4 linked regions of the Schizosaccharomyces pombe genome follow. The gene in region 1 interacts genetically with each later gene. Each region holds a gene or a part of one and is shown in the gene's direction. Other genes may lie near its edges. The genes, in order: set2, pku80, paf1 and lsd1.

Region 1 (4,979 bases):
GCAGGAAACGTGGTTTGTTTCGACTTGTATCCGGTGGAAATTGATTTACGAACCCGCATTCCCACGTCCATTAAGGAGCCTTGAATGCTTTCGGGAAGCTGAGGACGCATTGAAGACTCAGGCTGCTCAACATGAGTCTTTGTGGTCATAACTCGCTTGCTGCTGTGCATTTTTTCCAAAATAAATTGTCGACGAACCTTTGTGTAGTGTTTGGTTGTGGGAGCGTTTGCTACTCGGCTTTGTGACGTTTAAAGCAGTCAAATTTGTCTGGGGAATGCCTATCGAACACGGATCTCTTTACATTTCACTAACCCACGTTATTCATAAATGGTAGAAAATCTACAAAATTTGGAATTGCAGTTTTATTGCTTTTGCGATTGAGATCTTGTTTTCTTGTGGTTCTGCCACTTTTTCCGCACTCTTTATATCTAAGAGTTAAAGTAAAACATTTAAAGCAATTAAATTCGCTTTCTCTTTTATTGCCAACTGCTTTCAAGGTAACAGCTGAAACGTTTGTTCGTTAAATTTGGTCAAACCTTTTGCAAAGCTTGAAATCGCTTCTTCCTTTGTTCTTCACATGTTGTCTCATCGTAACTTGGCCCCTGTTCGGTATGGTTTTCTTATTAACTTTACTGGCACCGTCGTGCCATGAAGGACAAGTAGCTGCATATAGATTGTAGTAAGTATAGCTTGAGTTAAAGACCTTTTAAGATAAGATACACATATATAAACATATGGAATAGGTTTATCTTTTTTTCTTAGCCTTTATTTTTGTTTAATAGCTTTTTAAAATTAACAATGACTAATGCTCTGACAAAATTTTAGCATTATTTCAATTTCGCCAATGTATATATTATGTGTTTAAACAATATTAACAAAAGTGGTTGGGTTTGAAGAAATAAAGAATCTACCTAGAATTAACAGGATGAGCATTTTCAAAATAAAATGACTTTATTACATACATTCCTAGTTTCTTTCTTTACCGATTCTCAAACTTCTGTTTAATTACTGCTTCAATAGATGCAGGTAGATGATGATTTTACATTAATAAGACCAAGGGAACAAAAAGAATACCAAATATAATTCAATACCACATGCTTGGATTTGTAAATTGAACATATTGTAAACTTACTTGTTCTGGGTCTATCCAGTATGAGCACGCTGACTGCCTCACTCAAAATATTCGTTGAAAAAGCTTTTCTTATTCATTCATTGTTGATAATTAGTGTCTATCTTTGCGTACCATATGTTTTTTGGATAAACAACCTACTACAGTTACATAGTATGATTGATATTATTAATTCAAAGATATTCGCTACATAAGGCGCCGAGTGTAAAAAACAGAGTGAATTTTATTACACTAACAGTGTTATTTCTTCAACAACTATTATGGAATTTCTGGAAAAGAATGGCATTCAAATGTTGCGCGTGATGGTGATTTTTTGTAGATGCTTGAATGAAATGAAAGTAAAGATTTTAAAGCCTTTTCTTTTAATAGGTTTCTTTAATATTTAACACTAAAGTCAAGAGTTGTCGTTTACACTCCGGTACTGTGAGCCCCTACGAGGATTCCGCGAGTAAAGAAGGAACGCCGCCAACAGCCACAACTTCTTCCTTGAGACAATTTCCTGATCTCACTGTTTCTTTGACACGAAACTTTGAAACGTTAGAAGATCTATATGTTACGCATCGAGATATTTTCGGAAATTTTCTAAAAAGAAGATTTTCGGTGAAATTTCAGCTGGTCTTCTTTCTATTGTTTTGGCTTCCTTCGGCAATTACTTTTTGTTCAATAAAACTGTAGATTTTTTAACTTTCTCTTTCTTTTTGTCCATTATCATACAATGCAGACGGCATCATCTCTTTCTGTTTTAACTCCTTTGAATGAGGAAAACGTTGATAGGAAGTCTTCTTGGTCAAAAGACACAATCGCTGTCCAGGCAGTCGGTTCATCACCATCTTCTTCGTCATCTCATGATTTCGAAAGTAAAGAGGATGCCGAAGGGATGAATAAAGACGAAAGTGCTCCTTCCCCTTCTACGTCCTCGCCATCGTCTGCATCCTCTCGGTCTCAAAGCAAATATGTTAGAAAAGAGGCACTTCCTCCTCAACTTTTTCATCACCTGGATTCTGCGAAAGATAAGGCGCTAACTACGTTCGAAGAGATTCAAGAATGTCAGTATGCTTCCGCCAATATTGGTAAGCCTCCAGAAAACGAAGCTATGATTTGCGATTGTCGGCCTCATTGGGTAGATGGAGTTAATGTTGCTTGTGGGCACGGATCCAATTGTATTAATAGAATGACTTCTATAGAGTGTACGGACGAAGATAACGTTTGTGGACCATCCTGTCAAAACCAACGCTTTCAAAGACATGAATTTGCAAAGGTGGATGTTTTCTTAACCGAAAAGAAAGGGTTTGGTTTGCGCGCTGATGCCAATTTACCCAAAGACACATTTGTCTACGAATACATTGGAGAAGTTATACCTGAACAAAAGTTTCGTAAACGTATGCGACAATACGATAGTGAGGGAATTAAACACTTTTACTTCATGATGCTGCAAAAGGGGGAATATATTGATGCTACTAAAAGGGGGTCGCTCGCAAGATTTTGCAATCACTCTTGTAGACCTAATTGTTATGTTGATAAATGGATGGTAGGAGATAAGCTAAGAATGGGTATATTTTGTAAAAGAGATATTATTCGCGGTGAAGAGCTTACTTTTGACTATAATGTCGATAGATATGGTGCACAAGCCCAACCTTGTTATTGCGGAGAACCTTGCTGTGTAGGGTATATTGGCGGAAAGACGCAAACTGAGGCTCAATCGAAACTACCTGAGAATGTCCGAGAGGCTCTTGGTATTGAAGATGAAGAGGATAGCTGGGAAAACATCACTGCACGTCGACAACGTCGTAAAAAGGGAATTGACGAAACTAGCAAAATTATTGAAGAGGTGCAACCTACTCCTCTGACATCTGAGTCTGCTACTAAAGTGATTGGCGTTCTCCTGCAAACTAAGGATGACTTATTAACAAGAAAGTTAATGGAACGCATTTTCTTGACTTCAGATCCTAGTGTATGCCGTTCGATCATTGCGTTACGTGGTTACAACATTTTTGGTTTGATGCTGAAGAAGTTCAGCATTGATATTGAGTTTATACTACGTTCTATAAAAACCATGTTATCTTGGCCACGCCTAACAAGAAATAAAATCCAAGATTCAAATATTGAGCCCGTTGTTCAAGAGTTTTGCGACCATGAGAACGAGGAGGTCAAAGATCATGCCAAAACTCTTTTAAAAGAATGGGAATCTTTGGAGATAGCTTATCGAATTCCCCGAAGGAAGCCTGGTCAAGTTGCTCCACAGTCAACGAACGCAGAACCCTCCAATAATCAAAGTAATCCTCCTTTAAGGGATCAGGAACCACAACGTGGCGATAAGGGAGATATAAAATCTGCAATCAATAATTCAACAGAAGATTTGAGCAAGAAACATCCAGCATTACATTCTTCTAGGCCTAGTGATAGTCGTTCACGTTCCAAGTTTGGAAATGACTATCAAAGCCATTCAAAACACAACCTTTTTCGTAAAAATTCTTTCCCTAAACGTCGTCGTCTTTCTAACTCTGACACTCCTTCTGAAACAACTACACCAAATAATGAGCAAGAACAAGTCAGCAATCAAGCTAATAAAGTAGATTTAAACAAGATTATTTCAGCGGCAATGGAGAGTGTCAATCAGAAAAATGTGTTGAAGGCACAGAAGGAGGAAGAAGAAAGAATAGCTCAGCAGAAAAGAGAAGAAAAGAGACGTCTTGCTTACGAAGAAAGTTTGAAAAGACATGCCAAAAAGTTGCATGAAAAGAAGACGAAAAGCTCTCAGGATGCCACAATTGATCATCATTTAACTTCGCATAGTCCTGAAAGCATTGCTTTTAAGGCAGTTTTGGCAAAATTTTTTGCTAACAAAACAGCTAGATACCAAGAGAAGCTTGGTAAAGCTGAATTTAAATTGAGAGTAAAGAAAATGACTGAAATTATCTTGAAAAAGCATATTCAGTTAGTTCTATCCAAAAAAGAAAAAGCTTTACCAGATGAATTATCAGACTCTCAGCAGCGAAAGCTGAGAGTTTGGGCATTTCGATATTTGGACACAGTTGTATCGCGTTCTGGCACTGCGACTACAACTCCTACAGATTCACCCAGTATTGGCGAATCCCCGAAAAAAGCTGCTTAATCGCCAGTATTTTTAACTGCGACAAGTAGCAACGTCTACCATACTATAGTTCCAAATATTGCATGTCTTTAATACCTGGTGTCTAGTTTTTTTTTTCTTCCTTGATGTAATATTTTAATACTATTTTTTTTTTTAAATACAATCTTTAATTTCCAGACATAGAAGCCGTATTTGTGTCTAAATGCACGTCGACTGTTTACAACATTTCATCTAATTATATAACCCTGGACTGGACCGGTATAGCATTTTGATTAATAGGTTAATATTTAGCTAATTAAATTCCATGCAAAAATTGATGTACTATTAGGTTAAGTAATTTTTAATAAAACGGGTTAACGAAACTTTAGCTATACACACACCATTTATTCTTCTAATAGCCATGAAACCATTTCTCTTGAGTTACCCTTAAGGTCCATTTGTTTAGTTGGCCGAGTTTCTCCACCTGAAATAACCACTTTTTGTACTTCCTCCTTTTCTTTAGCACGTATAACAATCCGTTCTTCAATGGTTCCACGAGTAATAAATCTGTAAACGGTGACTTGTTTTTGCTGACCGATACGATGAGCTCGATCCATGGCTTGACTATCAATACTAGGATTCCAGTCTGAATCATAAAAAATAACAGTATCAGCGGCAGTTAAGTTAATACCCAAACCACCTGCCCTTGTTGAAAGTAGAAATACAAAGAGTTCGGGCCGTGTTTGCCATTCTGTAACCATATCTCGACGTTGACTAATT
Region 2 (4,823 bases), on another chromosome or scaffold:
CCTTTTTAAAAAGCTTTGACTCCTCCTCCAAATTAAACAGATTAGCAGTTGGGGATGTAACATAAGTATTCCGGATTAACAAAGGAGGAATAGCGATAGCCTTTCTCCAATGAATAAGGTGTTTTGCTAGAATAAAGCATTCTGATACTGATATTCCTAGACGATTAGCGATATCTGTGAACCTGAAATATTGTAAGTTAGTATTTAATAGCAATAATAAATTTTGTTTAGACTTGACAAAACTTACGTTAAGTTAGGTTTTACTATGGCAATGAAAGAAGAAAGAAGAGAATTTTGTAAAAGAGGAACACGTTTCATTATAGTGTCTGTATCCTTTAAGAGCAACAAAGTCCAATAGGGGGCAACGAAAGGTTCAATAGAGGAAGGATGTTCTTCAGAGAAGATGGTTTGAGATGCTAAAATAGTTGATGGTCTAACCTGCAGTTCGTAATTTTCAAGTGTGTTGGTGGAAACCGACATAGGCCAGAGTAAGCTTAAGTTAATCGATTGATTTATCTCTAAATAAGCCGTATGCATGTTAATTAAAGCCTCATATGTAGTAGCAAGAACCGAAGCAAGATTTGAGTGATGAGGGATTTGAGCGGCATACACATCGAATGGGACGTTTTGGCTTGAATATTTTTCAGTCAGTTTTAAGATGTGTATACACTCATTTTCAACATAATTCCGTTTTGCTTGTTCATATTTAAGTCCAGTAACTAACTTGACTACTATATGATCATACATCGTGTTTACAGTAGGGCGATATACGGTAGCTGTAGGCACATTTAATACAAAGACGACATGAAATAAAGACATTGAAGATCTCGATTTTGATGAAGATGATTTTACTTCAAAACTTCCTGTCGAAGGGTGTGAAGATTCGGGCTTTGATACCAAATGGCTCGAAGAAGCATTAGACTCAACAGTAGTTCGTGGTTTCCTTCGTTTAGCCCACTCACCGTTCGGACCAATATGAACAGGACATCCCAAAAAAGTAAGACCATCCACCCAAATTTCAAATTTTTGATTGCAAAGTTCAATACGAGGACTTAGCATATTTGCGAGAAAGCCTTTTTCATAACCAAGTACATGTGTATCGTCAGCTACTTCAGTAAACCTATTATTCTCATCATCATCGCTGTCATCAAGGTCGAGCATCCCGATTGCAGACTCCGCTGAATCATTATTATGATGAGTGGCTTGTAGACGTACTTGAGGTTGTAGCGGCCAGTGAAAGACGAAATTAGCTCCTGATGTTGTTTTTTCAACAAGGAAAATGGCTACTAATCGAGGAGTTAAGCGTACCATTTTGGCGTTTTAAAACAAAGTATAAATGTGTATGTTCGATAATTGAAGTACATATGTGTGTTTTTTAATATATTTTTCACAACAGAAAACCAAATATCACCTTAAACATTATACCTCAAGGGGGTGGTATCGTTTTCTGGTAATTTGCGTGTAGTACGAAAGATTTGTGAGCGATATGCATCTGGCAGCTCGGTGTTTTAATCGCCTAGTACAAAACTAATAAGATCTAACATGAATAGTTAAACTGAATGTTAACTAATTATTGACATCTTGAGATATGAGTTCACGGCTTTGTAAATTAATGTGTGAATTGAAAGTAAAAGCATCGCTATGCAAAATTTCTAATGTGCGTAAAACCTTAGCAACTTTAATAGCTCCAATTCAATTCTCAAGAGTTTCTGATTTAAGTTATAAAAATGAATTGACTAATTTATATACAATGTTTTGGGTTATTTACATTTCAGTCACATGTGCATTTGCACATATGCTGCTGGACTTACTGTTAATGTAGTATATTCATACCGCGAAGAAAATACCTGAATCATTTAAAATGACCGTGTAATTGATATCTAACTGTTGAAAGCATCGGAGGCCCCAATGTTCTACAACAAATCTCACCTTGCTTTGACCTCCACCAAATCTGTATTCCTTAACAATTCGTATGAGTGATAAGGAATGTACTGTTTTTGTACTTGACTTGGGCAAAGATATGGGGACCTGTCACCATGGCAGGTCTCATTCTGATCTCGAATGGACTTTGTCGTATTTTCACGACGAATTGTCTCATAAGGTATTTTGCTCAACATTATCGACACCCTATTGACACATACTCAGTTTTTAGCAAATAGGAAGACAGACGTAGTTGGAATCGTTGGTTACAAATGCGATGGTATTCTATTGTAATGTTTTAAAGGTACACTACTTCTAACTTTTACGGTGTTTAGATACGAAAAATGATTTAGCTGAGCAGGAAGCCTATTGGAATATCAGTGTTTTGTATCCTATACAAACGTAAGCTTTCTCTTAAATGCTCCATTAACTTCTTAACTAGTGCCTTATTTTCAAAGCTACAATCCGTTTCTCAAACGTTAAAACCAAGCAATACTATGCAAGGCGATCTGATATCTGCAATAGTTGTGTCCTTTGATTTGATGGCTCGGCATTGTAAAAAGAACAAATGGAAGAAGAAGATGATAGTGCTTACGGCAGCTAGGGGGATTATCGACTTTAGTGATTACATTGGAATTGCCGAACAACTACTGCAGCATGATGTTTTTCTAGGTGTTTATGGAGTTGATTTTGATCAAGAAGATATTAATTATTCTGAGCCTTTAAAGGAATCTCAGAAAAAGGAAAACGAAGTTCGAATTCAAGAGTTTGTTGAGAGTTGTCATGGTCAGTACTGCACATTTCAACAGATTTATAACAACATCGGTAAACCTTGGGTTCGTAAAGTGAGACCTGTCGCAATCTTTAGAGGTACATTTAGTATTGGTAATAGAGACAGCAAAGATACGTCTATAAGCATACAGGTTGAAAGATATCCTAGAACTCGTTTAACTAAACCGCCAACATCATCTGCTTTTTATGAAAACGATATGTCTAAAAATTATGAATGTCTTAATATCGAAAATTCAAATGTGGAAAACAAAAGTATGGAATCTGATGCAGTGTCTACTGTTCGATCGTACATGGTTCGTGATCCAAAAACAAACGATTCTTTTGAGGTTAAAAGAGAAGACTTGGAAAGCGGTTATAGTTATGGTAGGACAATCGTCCCGATCAGCCGATCAGATGAAGACGTATTGGCTTTAGATACAATACCCGGTTATGAAATCCTTGGATTTATTCCTAAATCTAGTCTTCCAATTTATTATACCATTAGTGATACTAATATAATCGTTCCAAAAGATGACTTCGAAAGCAAATTAAATTTTTCTGCCTTTGTTCAATCCCTTGAACGTGAACACCGATATGCGCTCGCAAGGTTTGTTTCTAAAGATAAGGGCGTACCAGTTTTGCTGGTCTTGATGCCTTACGTGGAGTTTAAAAGACATTACTTGGTTGATATACAACTTCCATTCGCTGAAGATGTTCGGCCTTATTCTTTCTCAGAGTTCGAGAAACTGTCAAATGAAGAGGATATGCGACAAATTGATTTTGCCGTAAGTAATTATATCGATAATATGGATTTAGATTCCTCTGATTGTGGGTTCAATCCTCCTTTTGAGCCCGAAAATACCTTTAGTATGATACCACATAGACTTCAACAAGCTATCAGTTATTATGCAAATTCACCAGAAGGCGATCTTCCTCAACCAAATATTTACTTAACACGTTACACCAATCCTCCAAAAAGTTTACTTGATAATTGCATTTTGGACTTGAAGTTGATTAAGGAAAAACTTACAGTGAACGTCCCCGTCAAACCAAAATATTCTTCTCAAGAAACAGCCTTCGACACAGGCGCCCCAATATCAGAGGAACAAATAGAAGAACTACTAAATTCTGGTCTCGATGAACAGGAAGGAGAAAAATTATTAGTCCTTCACGTTAGTGAAAAAGACCCAGTAGGCACTTTCACTGAAGTTTTGAAAAACCCTTTTGGACTAGAGGATGCTTTGACAGAAATGGAAAAAGTAATTAAAAATCTTATTGACAAGTCTAAGTACGATCTTGCTTTGCAGTCATTGCAATCTCTCAGGTTACACTCAATTTTGGAAGACGAAGTTGAAAGATTTAATGAGTATCTTACTCGATTGAAAAAGGACGTAATGCAAAATAACAAACCCAAGGAGAATGAGCTTATTAACAAAATAAGATCATCTGGATTAGATATTATTCTCCATGATGAATTGACTAGACATGATAATTTTAATAACATTTAGCATAGGACAACAATGACTTGTCTTACTCGAACATAAATAAATAAATTTTATTAAATACTTGCAATATTTTTTTTACTTTTATCCAAATTTCTAATAAAAATTTTTAAGTCATGAATCCGCTATTTATTAGCATATAGAATACACGGTCGCAAAAATAGAAAATAGTTTTAACTTAAGTAGTTTAGGTAAACATACCTATGATATTTCAGAAAACACAACTATCGTTTAAAAACTTGGTGAGAGTTCCTTGCATTTTTTTATTTATATTCTATCTTTCACAATTACATTATTCAAAGAACATTTTAGACTTACTTTCACGAATTGGACAAATATCGGGGACATGCTTAAGGAGCTACAGCAGTGTTCCTTATTAGTGATACTAAAATTTAATAGTTTGGTCGTATCTATTTACCTACCACTGACTTTTTGATCTGTTACGCTTCGGCGATTGGAAAGCGTTCCTGAACTTTCTGTCATTTTAAATAAAATTTAAATTTTTTAAATATTTAAATTAATTCGATCAAAATGACTGAAGTCGAAACCACACACATGAATGCAGGTACAGAGAGCCAACAAGAGCCTGCTGAGCTAGCTGAAAAGCAAAAGGCTATAGGAAACGCTTTC
Region 3 (3,902 bases), 3.7 Mb from region 1:
CTTCGTGTCTCCATTAGCAGATTCCGACTCTGTTTCTTTAGCGTCTTTCTCTCCAGCGGAGTCTCGCCATATATACATTTGGTCATCCCTTTTGAGATATTCACTATTTTGGTTAATTTAAGGACTAAACAAGCGAATTGCACACACGTGTAAAAGTTCTTTTGATTGATAGGAGGAACAATTTGAAATTGAGTAAATTTAAAATCGATTCCCTCCTCCGTGTAGGGTTGTTTTCTTTTCGGAGCCATCGCTTTAAATCACAGGGCTTGAAAAGGAAATTTCGTTACGGTGTAGTTGGGCCAAGTCGTGTTGGTTACTTTGCGAAACTTGACATGATTAAAGGATGTGCGTGTGTAGGTAGGAATGAATTGCGACAAAGAGGAATTTTAAAAGAAGAAAGTGATACATTACAATTTAACTCATTTATTCATGCCTAATTAAATAAGTATGAAAAATGCCAACTTGAAAACTCTATTTGACTCCACATCCTATGTACTTTAAAAGCTTACAGTTTGTAGTTAGAGTTGTTTAAATTGGATGTGATGTTTTTGTGAAGAGACACAGATTATATTTCGTATTTTTTCACTTTCAATCACTTCTTTGTTTTCTACTTTGAATTGTTTCCTGGGTGAAGAGTGCAATGACTGTTACTGTAAGAACAATTGGCATATGTTAACGTTTCAAGGACTTTTGTATTTTATTTTCTCTTGTTAAAGATTACACATTACTCAACTTGAATTGTATTAGACACGGGAATTAACTAATGAAGCTACATTGGAATATGAATGATGTAAAACGAAAAAAGAAGACACATGTACAAGATTTACACTGTACTTGGTTCTTTTAATTTTTTAAATTTTAATAATAATTATTAAAGTACAAACAGCTATGAGATGGATTGATGTTAAGTCTATATTGTTATATACATGAACAAGTGTTGAAAACCGTTGATAAAATAAGTTATCGAATTGTATAAAAAATATATACATATATGTAATAGTAAAGCAACTCCCTGAGAATGCAAGCAGTTTATGGCTTTATTAACTAACAGTCCATTCACCTATTAAATAAAGATATGCGTAAACAATTCAGAACTTGGACCATGAACTTCTACATTGCTACATTTATCTGTCTTTATAAATTAAGTAAAAATTGAGAAGAATTTGGTTGTGTTTATTAGCACTTTTATTCAATGATTTTAGCTAGTATTCTTTTTTTACAAATTTTTAATTTAATTTTTGCTCATGGTCTCTTAGATCTCAACAAAATTGACTGTATAGCAAGAACGATGAAATTTCTTTAATAAACTAGATTAGGCAAGCATTCATTAATCAATTTTGGATTGCTTTTTATTTAGTTGGGTTATTTTATCTGTAGTAATCAACATACAAAATAGTTGAAAATTTGCTTACCAAAAAATCATCGAATTTACTTGTTACAATGATATAATGAAATTGGACTACAGTGAGTGAACATCGTATAATGCTAAAAGAAAAGGCGATTTCAATAGGTGATACAATCGACGCAAAATCCTTAACATCCATAATGATGCATGCATAAATACTGGGATTTTAGAATTCGTACAATAAAAATGATTAATCGTCTATTAGTGAATCCTCGGCTTTAGGGAATTGCGATCTTACACGTTATCATTTCTAACATCAGTACTATGGATTTCTTTTAATTAATTAACGAAAATGAGCAATTTATAACGTACTTCATACCGGTGCGAAGATTAGACGCTCGTTTCCAATTTAGGGTGATGCTAGGAAGTTATATGGGAACGTGATCTCCTTGGGTATTTGTGGAAAACACATCAATGGTAAGAACTAGACTTGAAAAACAGACTAATCAAGCAGGAAAATAGGAGGCAAGATTATATTTTGAGGGTTAGATACCATAACCCTCTTCCTCCTCCGCCGTTTCCTCCAAAATTGATCAATATACCTAATCCAGTAAAGCAGTATGCCTTACCAAATTTTGTATCAACTTTAGTTCAAGAAAAAAAGATTCCCATTGAAAATGATATTGAATTGGGAATGCCGCTTGATTTGGCCGGAATAACTGGATTTTTTGAAGGAGATACCAGCTGGATGCATTCGGATCTATCAAGTGTTAATTTGGATCCTATTGACCGTTCATTATTAAAAGTTGCAGGAGGCTCTGGATCCACGCACCTTGAGGTACCTTTCTTGCGACGCACCGAGTACATATCTTCAGAAGTGGCACGTGCTGCTTCCAATCGGGGAAATTTACGACTTACAGCATCTACTAGTAAAGCATTGGCTGAACAACGTGGCCGTTCGCTTCGCGAGGTTCCCAAACAACTTGAAGCTATTAATGAGAGTTTCGACGTTGTGCAACAACCGTTAGAACAATTGAAGCATCCTACCAAGCCTGATTTAAAACCCGTATCAGCCTGGAACTTGTTGCCAAATACTTCAATGGCAGGAATTCAACATTTAATGTTGCGCGTTGCTGACGATTTGTCAGAACGGTCGCATTCTTATAGTTCCTTGGTTAATCTTCAAGAGGGGCACAATCTCACAAAACGTCACGAAGTCGCTCTATTCATGCCTTCTTCTGCAGAGGGTGAGGAATTCTTATCCTACTACTTACCTTCAGAAGAGACAGCGGAAGAGATACAAGCTAAAGTTAATGATGCTTCTGCCGATGTTCATGAACCATTTGTTTATAATCACTTTCGTAATTTTGATGCTTCTATGCATGTCAATAGCACAGGGCTTGAAGATCTTTGTTTGACGTTTCACACAGATAAAGATCATCCTGAAGCTAACCAAGTTTTATACACACCTATTTATGCTCGTTCTACCCTAAAGCGCCGTCATGTTCGTGCTCCAGTCAGTCTTGATGCTGTTGATGGTATTGAGTTGAGCCTTCGTGATTTGAATGACGAGGAATCGTTGCAGCTGAAGCGTGCCCGATATGATACATTTGGTTTAGGAAACATAAAAGATTTAGAAGAAGAGGAGGAGAAACTAAGAAGTGTCGAGGGCAGCCTCAATGAGGAACTCTCTGAAGAAGAGAAACCTGCGGAATCTCGTGAACAACTAGAATCTGCTGAACAAACTAATGGAGTTAAGCCTGAAACACAAGCTCAGAATATGTCGGCTTCCGAGTCGCAAGCAAATTCCCCTGCACCACCAGTAGAAGAAGGGAATACACAGCCTTCGCCAGTTGAACAGCTACAAAATGAAGAGGATTAATCGTTTCATGTTTGAAAATGAAACATTATCCTAAACAAATAAATGATCTAATCGTGTCTTTCATGCAGCATACCCTTGTATATACAAAACAATGAAATAACACTTTAACCTTCGCAAATGAATTTTGTATAAAACTATATACATAAAGAAGTTGTAAAACTATCGTATAAAAATTCATATTGCATATTACGCGTGGAAGTTCGACTATTTTACACAATTTACAATTCTACGACTAAATGACAGTTGCTTTGGAAAACCAATAATATTTTCTCTTAACGGTAAGATTTTTGTTGACGAGCACGAGCACCGTGACCACCGAACTAGAAACAGTTAGTATAAAAATACAAAAACACAGTGAATATAGACAGGCAACCAAATGCTTCAGTAGACAAAGCACAAAAAAGCTTAAATGCGTTATGTCCAAAACTAAATAAAGTTGCTTGAAATTCAATAATAAACAAACCTTCTTGGGCTCCATACGACGAGGATCAGCAACTAACAAAGTACGGTCATAAGTAATGAGAGCCTTCTTGAGTTCAGCCTTAGAGTGCTCATCAACGAACTTTTGGTAGTAAGCAACGATGGCCTTGGAGATGGCTTGACGGATAGCATAGATTTGAGAAACATGTCCACCACCAGAAACACGAACACGGATATCGACGCCGGCAAACTTGT
Region 4 (5,419 bases), on another chromosome or scaffold:
AAAAATGAGAATCAAGTTAGAGTTTGTTTATACCATAAGCATTATTCGAGATGGTACTTGCCTTTCGATAAAGACGACGATAATCAGTTAGTGGAGGCGTATGCAAAATACTTTAGCAGTGAAAATCGACCATCTATTTTCTACGTTTTACAAGGAATTTCATTTGGACCTGAATGCGAATACGTTTTGCGCCGAAAGCATTGGTGGAATCCTTGGGCAGAAAAGGTGATGCGTAGAGAAATAGTTGAACGCAAGATTGATACACATCCTGGATGTCGTACAGTCGCAGAACGATATGAGCAGATAGAAGCAAGTGGAAGTGAAGAGTTATTAATTATACCGATATATAAAATAAATATGTGGGTTTTATCTCTTCTATTATTTAGCGCTGGCGGATCCGTACTTATTGGTCTATGGATGAGACTCTCTGACCCATCATTCGCACATGGAATGTTACTCAATTTGGGAATCGGAAGTATAGGTAGCTTCCTTTATCTACTCTCGAATACTTGGTGTAGATAAAGTGGCATTTAGTACCCACATTTCCCCATTGCTTGCTTTTTTACGGCAGAGAACATGAATAGACTCATTTATATAGATCTCCTCTTCCTTTTTAATAACATGTACATCTGTACCATCGATTGTCTTATATTCATTATTCCATTCAATAGGTGAAGAAGTAATTATGTGGCGCTCGACAAATTTAAGAATATTGTCCTGGGCTTGTTGCTCAGTAATATGAACTATGTCAGTGGATTTAACGGCAACTCCATTTTTGTATTCAATTGCCCAAGGTTTGACTTTACACTGTTGAAATGCAGCATCATTAGGGACCAAGACAGTGATATGCTGATCTTTTTGTTGGAAGAGATGAACATAATCAGGAAACTGCATTATAAGCTCAGAAAAAATGTTGCAATCTCTTGTTTCGGCAAGCAATTCAAAGAGCCTTGGTTCACGAACTTCTTGCATATTGATAGGTCTTTGGTTAAAAGAGAGTACTGCACTAATAAAACTCGTAGTATAAAGGAAACGAAAGATGTTTAGACAAAACAGCTTCATCATTTTGGAGGGTGTTATTAAAGACACACTGCTTTAACAAATGGTAATCTTAAAAAGAAAAAATCAATTGGCATCAATTAGAACTACTTAATTTTTTTCAAAAGTTAAATAATCCAATTTTGTAAACGTAAGCGACTTGGTAATAGAGGAAAAAAACGCCTGTTTTAACAAAAACAACGATTTGATGAACGGTAGATCTTTGGTTGTTGTTACGACATAACAATTTTTTTTTTTTTTTTTTTTTTAAACACGATTAAGAAGTTTTTAAAATTTAATACTTTTTTGTTTTCTTAGTTTTTCTTAAAAGTGATAGATATTTACCTAATTATAAACTATTGTTTTTTACACCATGTATGTAATTAGACACACTCTTAAACCCAACTGCTTTATGCAATTTGATTGTAGTTTATTATGTATAGAAGATACTTGTAGACGTTTGGTTAGATGGTAATCTTCATTATTTTCTGTCACCATTAGTTCCATAAACATTGTGTTCAAAAAATATGATTCAACCATAATACTATATCACATCGCATAACACAACCCATCACTTGTAATATTTATTAATGTTATTTTCTTAAGCTATTTTGCTATTGAAACAAAGTAATCTAATTTACGTGAGTACCCCAAAAAGTAGTCTCCTTATAAGTGGAGAGTGTACGCCTAACAGCGTCTTACCTAGCACACACTTTAACTTTGGCAATCCGATTTGCAACTCATGGACGAAAGCTTCTGTCTAATGATTATGTTGAAATGATGGATTTGTCTTCGAAAGATGCTCTTTCGGACGTTTTAAAAGATACGCACGCACAATCATCTGACCCTTCGTTGTGGGCCATATTTGGTCACCAATCTTCTGACAATGTACATGAAGGAGGTAACGAAAGTGTCTCCGTTGAGCAGGAAATATTTGATTTGAGTCAATTGAGTGAGAGACCCGTGTCTGAGACTGTTTCTAAAGCCTCTATTCCAACGAATATCAACGGTTTATCCCAAGTAAAGCCATCAGCTTTAGAAAAATCCCAGGAGGTGCTATCTTTGCAAAAATTACCTATAAAAGGGCGTAGACCTGCTGGTCGTAGAGGTCGACCAGCTCTAAATACTTCTAATTCTCTTGAAAGAAATGGTACGCGCTATGTTTCCGCGGAGGCTCCTATATCTGTTAAATCCAGCATCCCTGCCATACCGCGTGTCACTTTCGAGAGACTTTGCTATGAATCTGCTATAGCTAGTAATCTTCCACCAAATGCTCTCTCGCCTCTAGAAGCTGAGATGCTTTCTGAAATCCTTGAGAATCCGACATGGCTTTCTCTTTATTTAAGTATACGAAATGGCATTTGTTACCTTTGGCATAGAAACCCGACTCTTTATGTATCATTTAATGAAGCTCTTGGTATTGTTCGTGAAAAAAAAGCATTTCCACTGGCTTCTCTGGCATTTGAGTTTTTGTCTCGTAACGGTCACATAAACTATGGGTGTATATATATTATATCCTCCCTAAAATTAGATGAATCTCTTTCCCAAAAAACTGTTGCTATTATAGGCGCAGGCATGGCAGGAATATCTTGTGCTCGCCAGCTAACCAACCTATTTGCTCAATATGAGCAAGATTTCTTAAGCCGGGGAGAAAAACCTCCTCGCATAGTTATATACGAAGCTAGTGAACGTTTGGGTGGCCATATCTATACCCATATGGTTCCATTGAGTGATAATGAAGTTAGTGAAAAAAGTTCTCTAGCTACAACTGTGAATGCCACAAATGAATGTATGGTTAACTTATTGACCGATTCTTTAATCGGAATGCCCACGCTCGACAGTGACCCCTTATACATAATTTCCTCACAACAGCTTTCGTTAGATGCAGTACATACTAGAAATAGAGAGTTTATCTTACATGATATCGAAAATGGAAGAATTGATACCGAACATGTTCAACGTATTTTTCGTTTATTTGATGCTTTACTTTTTTATTTCAATGCTTCAGCTAGTAAACAGCCCCTTCATTCGTTGATTACTCCTCCTGAGCAAGAATTCATTCAAAAGCTTGACCAAATTGGTTGGTATATTTCAATTGAAGCCTTTCCTTTACAAATAAAGGACACTTTGTCTGAATTTCTTGGTAATTCGGCTAACACCCTCACTTCTTTATTGCATCTTACTGTTTTAGATTTAAAAATTTTTGAATGGTTTAAGGAATACCTTTCACAATCACTCTCTGTTTCTCTTGAAAATGTTTATCCGGGAAGCATTCCAAACCTGAATTTATTATTAGGTGAAAATGTCGCTTCATATTCCTTCAAACATGGAATGGCGGATATGCTAAACTCCCTTGCTTCAACACCTTCTCCACTTCCAATTCTTTTTGACCAGTGTGTCCATACTGTAAAGCTAGAAGATAATACGGTTAACTTATCATTTGTAAATGAAACAACAGTTTCAGTCGATAAAGTGGTTATATGTATACCTATGGACAAGCTGAATACCCATTTGATTACCTTCGAGCCGCCTCTCGAAGAAAAGAAGCTAAAGGCTATTGATAGATGTCATTTTACCAATGTGAAAAAGGTTATCCTCATTTTTAAAACCCAATTCTGGGAACCAAACATAAGTATATTTGGTTCACTACCACAAGATTCAGGTAGAAACTTTATATTTAACGATTGCACTCGATTTTACGAACATCCCACATTATCAGTCTTTGTGAAGGTTGAAGGGATCGACTTTATGAAGGATGATGATATAGTGAATGGGATTGTATCTCAACTTAAAAAAGTTTATAAACCGAAATCAGAAGCCATAAATCCTATTCGAACGATTATCAGTAACTGGGAGAATAATTCTTATACAAATCACTCATCATATCAAATATCCAATTTGTTTTTGGAAGAGGATTATGCAATATTGTCTGAGCCCATTGACAATACTGTGTTTTTTGCTAGTGAAGCAATTTCCCAAAAAAATTCAGGTTCGATACGCGGCGCATTTGATTCGGGCATACTGGCTGCTAGAGATGTTTTGGCTTCGTTAATAGGCAATGTTGTTTTACCTAACACTCTCGTTATTGAGGAAAACTTGGAACAACCCCGTAAAACGTACGGCACGAAGCGAAATGCTCAACAAGCTTTAGGCAAAGAGGGAGAAAGAGAAAATAAGGAAAAGCGCATTTCATACCATACCGAGTATTTACGCTTGAGACAAAAAAGACTTGATAAAGAACAGCAAGAATGTGATTTACTAATTGCCGAATTATTGGGACCGTCTCCTGTTCCACCATCAAGGCCTAGTGCTAATCCTTACCTTTTGTACCAAAAAACTCAATGGCACGTTTGTAAAACTCTAGCAGATCAGGATAAACAAAGAGTTACTGGCGATCCTGAAGCACGTGCCACAAAAAATGAGATACGTGCAAAATTGGGAAAGACATGGCGAGCCTTGGATAGTTTAGGTAAACAACCATGGGTTGATGAAATTAACGCGAGACGAGCAAATTATTCAACTCGCCTGGAAGAGTATCAACGTCAAATTAATTCCTACAATGTGAGAGTTGCCCAAATTAAATCCGAACATCAGCGAAGATGTGAATCTCAACCAATTCCTGAAGATGAGGCTAAGTTAAAATTACTTGCTGAACAAGAGGACGAACATCTACATCCTGAAAAAGAGGGCATGTCCGTTGAAAATAGTGATGATGATTATCATGATGATTTAGATTATGAGGATTCAATAAGTGAAGTATTCCCTGACAATTTCTCATGAGCTTCATTTAAAGTTTTTTTTTAAGGGTAGTTTATATGAGATAAAGATCAATTTTTACGTTTAAGTTATAATGGTATACTAAATTTTATTTTTTCATAGAAAGGAATGACATTTATGAAATGCATATCATCTTGTAAATCCACTTGTCGAAGCTTCCTAACCACCATAAACCCAATTCTCTACGATTTGCTTGGTTATCACATATATACGAGCTCTTTAGAGAAATACTAATATGTCAAAAAAATATGGCGGTCAAATTTCGTTTGATCCACCAGCTAGGTTGGAAAAAGATCAAGTCGTCGCCAAAGTTGTGCAACTTAAAGGATCTGCGCTTTTTATGGTAGTAGAAAACAATGGACAGGAATTACTTGTTGAGATGCCTCCAAAGTATCGTAATAAAATATGGGTTAGGAGAAATGGGTTTGTAATAGTTGATAAATCTGAGTTTTTAGAGAAGGACAATAAAATTGACGGTACTATATTGTACGTGGTACAAAGCCCTTTAAAAAATTGGAAAAAACAAATTTATTGGTAAGAAATTCTCTTGAAATAACATTAGATGATTGTGCTAACTAGTTTAAAGGCCTAAAGAGTTTGCAGA

The links.
Region 2: mutations in set2 (region 1) and pku80 impair growth when combined (synthetic growth defect), as found in Schizosaccharomyces pombe (one study listed by BioGRID).
Region 3: of set2 (region 1) and paf1, changing one enhances a phenotype caused by changing the other (phenotypic enhancement), as found in Schizosaccharomyces pombe (one study listed by BioGRID).
Region 4: mutations in set2 (region 1) and lsd1 impair growth when combined (synthetic growth defect), as found in Schizosaccharomyces pombe (one study listed by BioGRID).

What each region holds. Positions count from the first base shown.
Region 1 is NC_003424.3:5,407,680-5,412,658, reverse strand, and holds set2 (histone lysine H3-K36 methyltransferase Set2), read left to right. Parts: upstream 1-1,593; 5' UTR 1,594-1,844; coding exon 1,845-4,241; 3' UTR 4,242-4,479; downstream 4,480-4,979. Other genes in the region: spd1 (ribonucleotide reductase (RNR) inhibitor), read right to left, coding at 1-170; SNF2 family ATP-dependent chromatin remodeller Ino80, read right to left, coding at 4,604-4,979. UniProt on the Schizosaccharomyces pombe protein: Histone methyltransferase that trimethylates histone H3 'Lys-36' forming H3K36me3. Involved in transcription elongation as well as in transcription repression.
Region 2 is NC_003423.3:4,302,517-4,307,339, reverse strand, and holds pku80 (Ku domain protein Pku80 ), read left to right. Parts: upstream 1-1,937; 5' UTR 1,938-1,972; coding exon 1,973-2,101; intron 2,102-2,145; coding exon 2,146-2,200; intron 2,201-2,255; coding exon 2,256-2,322; intron 2,323-2,362; coding exon 2,363-4,199; 3' UTR 4,200-4,317; downstream 4,318-4,823. Other genes in the region: Npr2/3 complex subunit Npr3, read right to left, coding at 1-182, 248-1,311; SPOM_SPBC543.02C (TPR domain protein, DNAJC7 family), read left to right, coding at 4,725-4,823. UniProt on the Schizosaccharomyces pombe protein: Single-stranded DNA-dependent ATP-dependent helicase. Involved in non-homologous end joining (NHEJ) DNA double strand break repair. DNA-binding is sequence-independent but has a high affinity to nicks in double-stranded DNA and to the ends of duplex DNA.
Region 3 is NC_003424.3:1,707,003-1,710,904, forward strand, and holds paf1 (RNA polymerase II-associated Paf1 complex protein), read left to right. Parts: upstream 1-1,779; 5' UTR 1,780-1,819; coding exon 1,820-1,822; exon of another isoform or gene 1,823-1,859; coding exon 1,860-3,227; 3' UTR 3,228-3,345; downstream 3,346-3,902. Other genes in the region: Ino80 complex actin-like protein Arp8, read right to left, coding at 1-103, 148-248; rps1602 (40S ribosomal protein uS9), read right to left, coding at 3,500-3,547, 3,691-3,902.
Region 4 is NC_003423.3:1,015,399-1,020,817, reverse strand, and holds lsd1 (histone demethylase SWIRM1), read left to right. Parts: upstream 1-1,576; 5' UTR 1,577-1,815; coding exon 1,816-4,818; 3' UTR 4,819-4,882; downstream 4,883-5,419. Other genes in the region: protein mug97, read left to right, coding at 1-522; protein mug57, read right to left, coding at 496-1,065; tif1102 (translation initiation factor eIF1A-like), read left to right, coding at 5,051-5,349, 5,402-5,419. UniProt on the Schizosaccharomyces pombe protein: Catalytic component of the SWM histone demethylase complex that specifically demethylates H3K9me2, a specific tag for epigenetic transcriptional activation, thereby acting as a corepressor.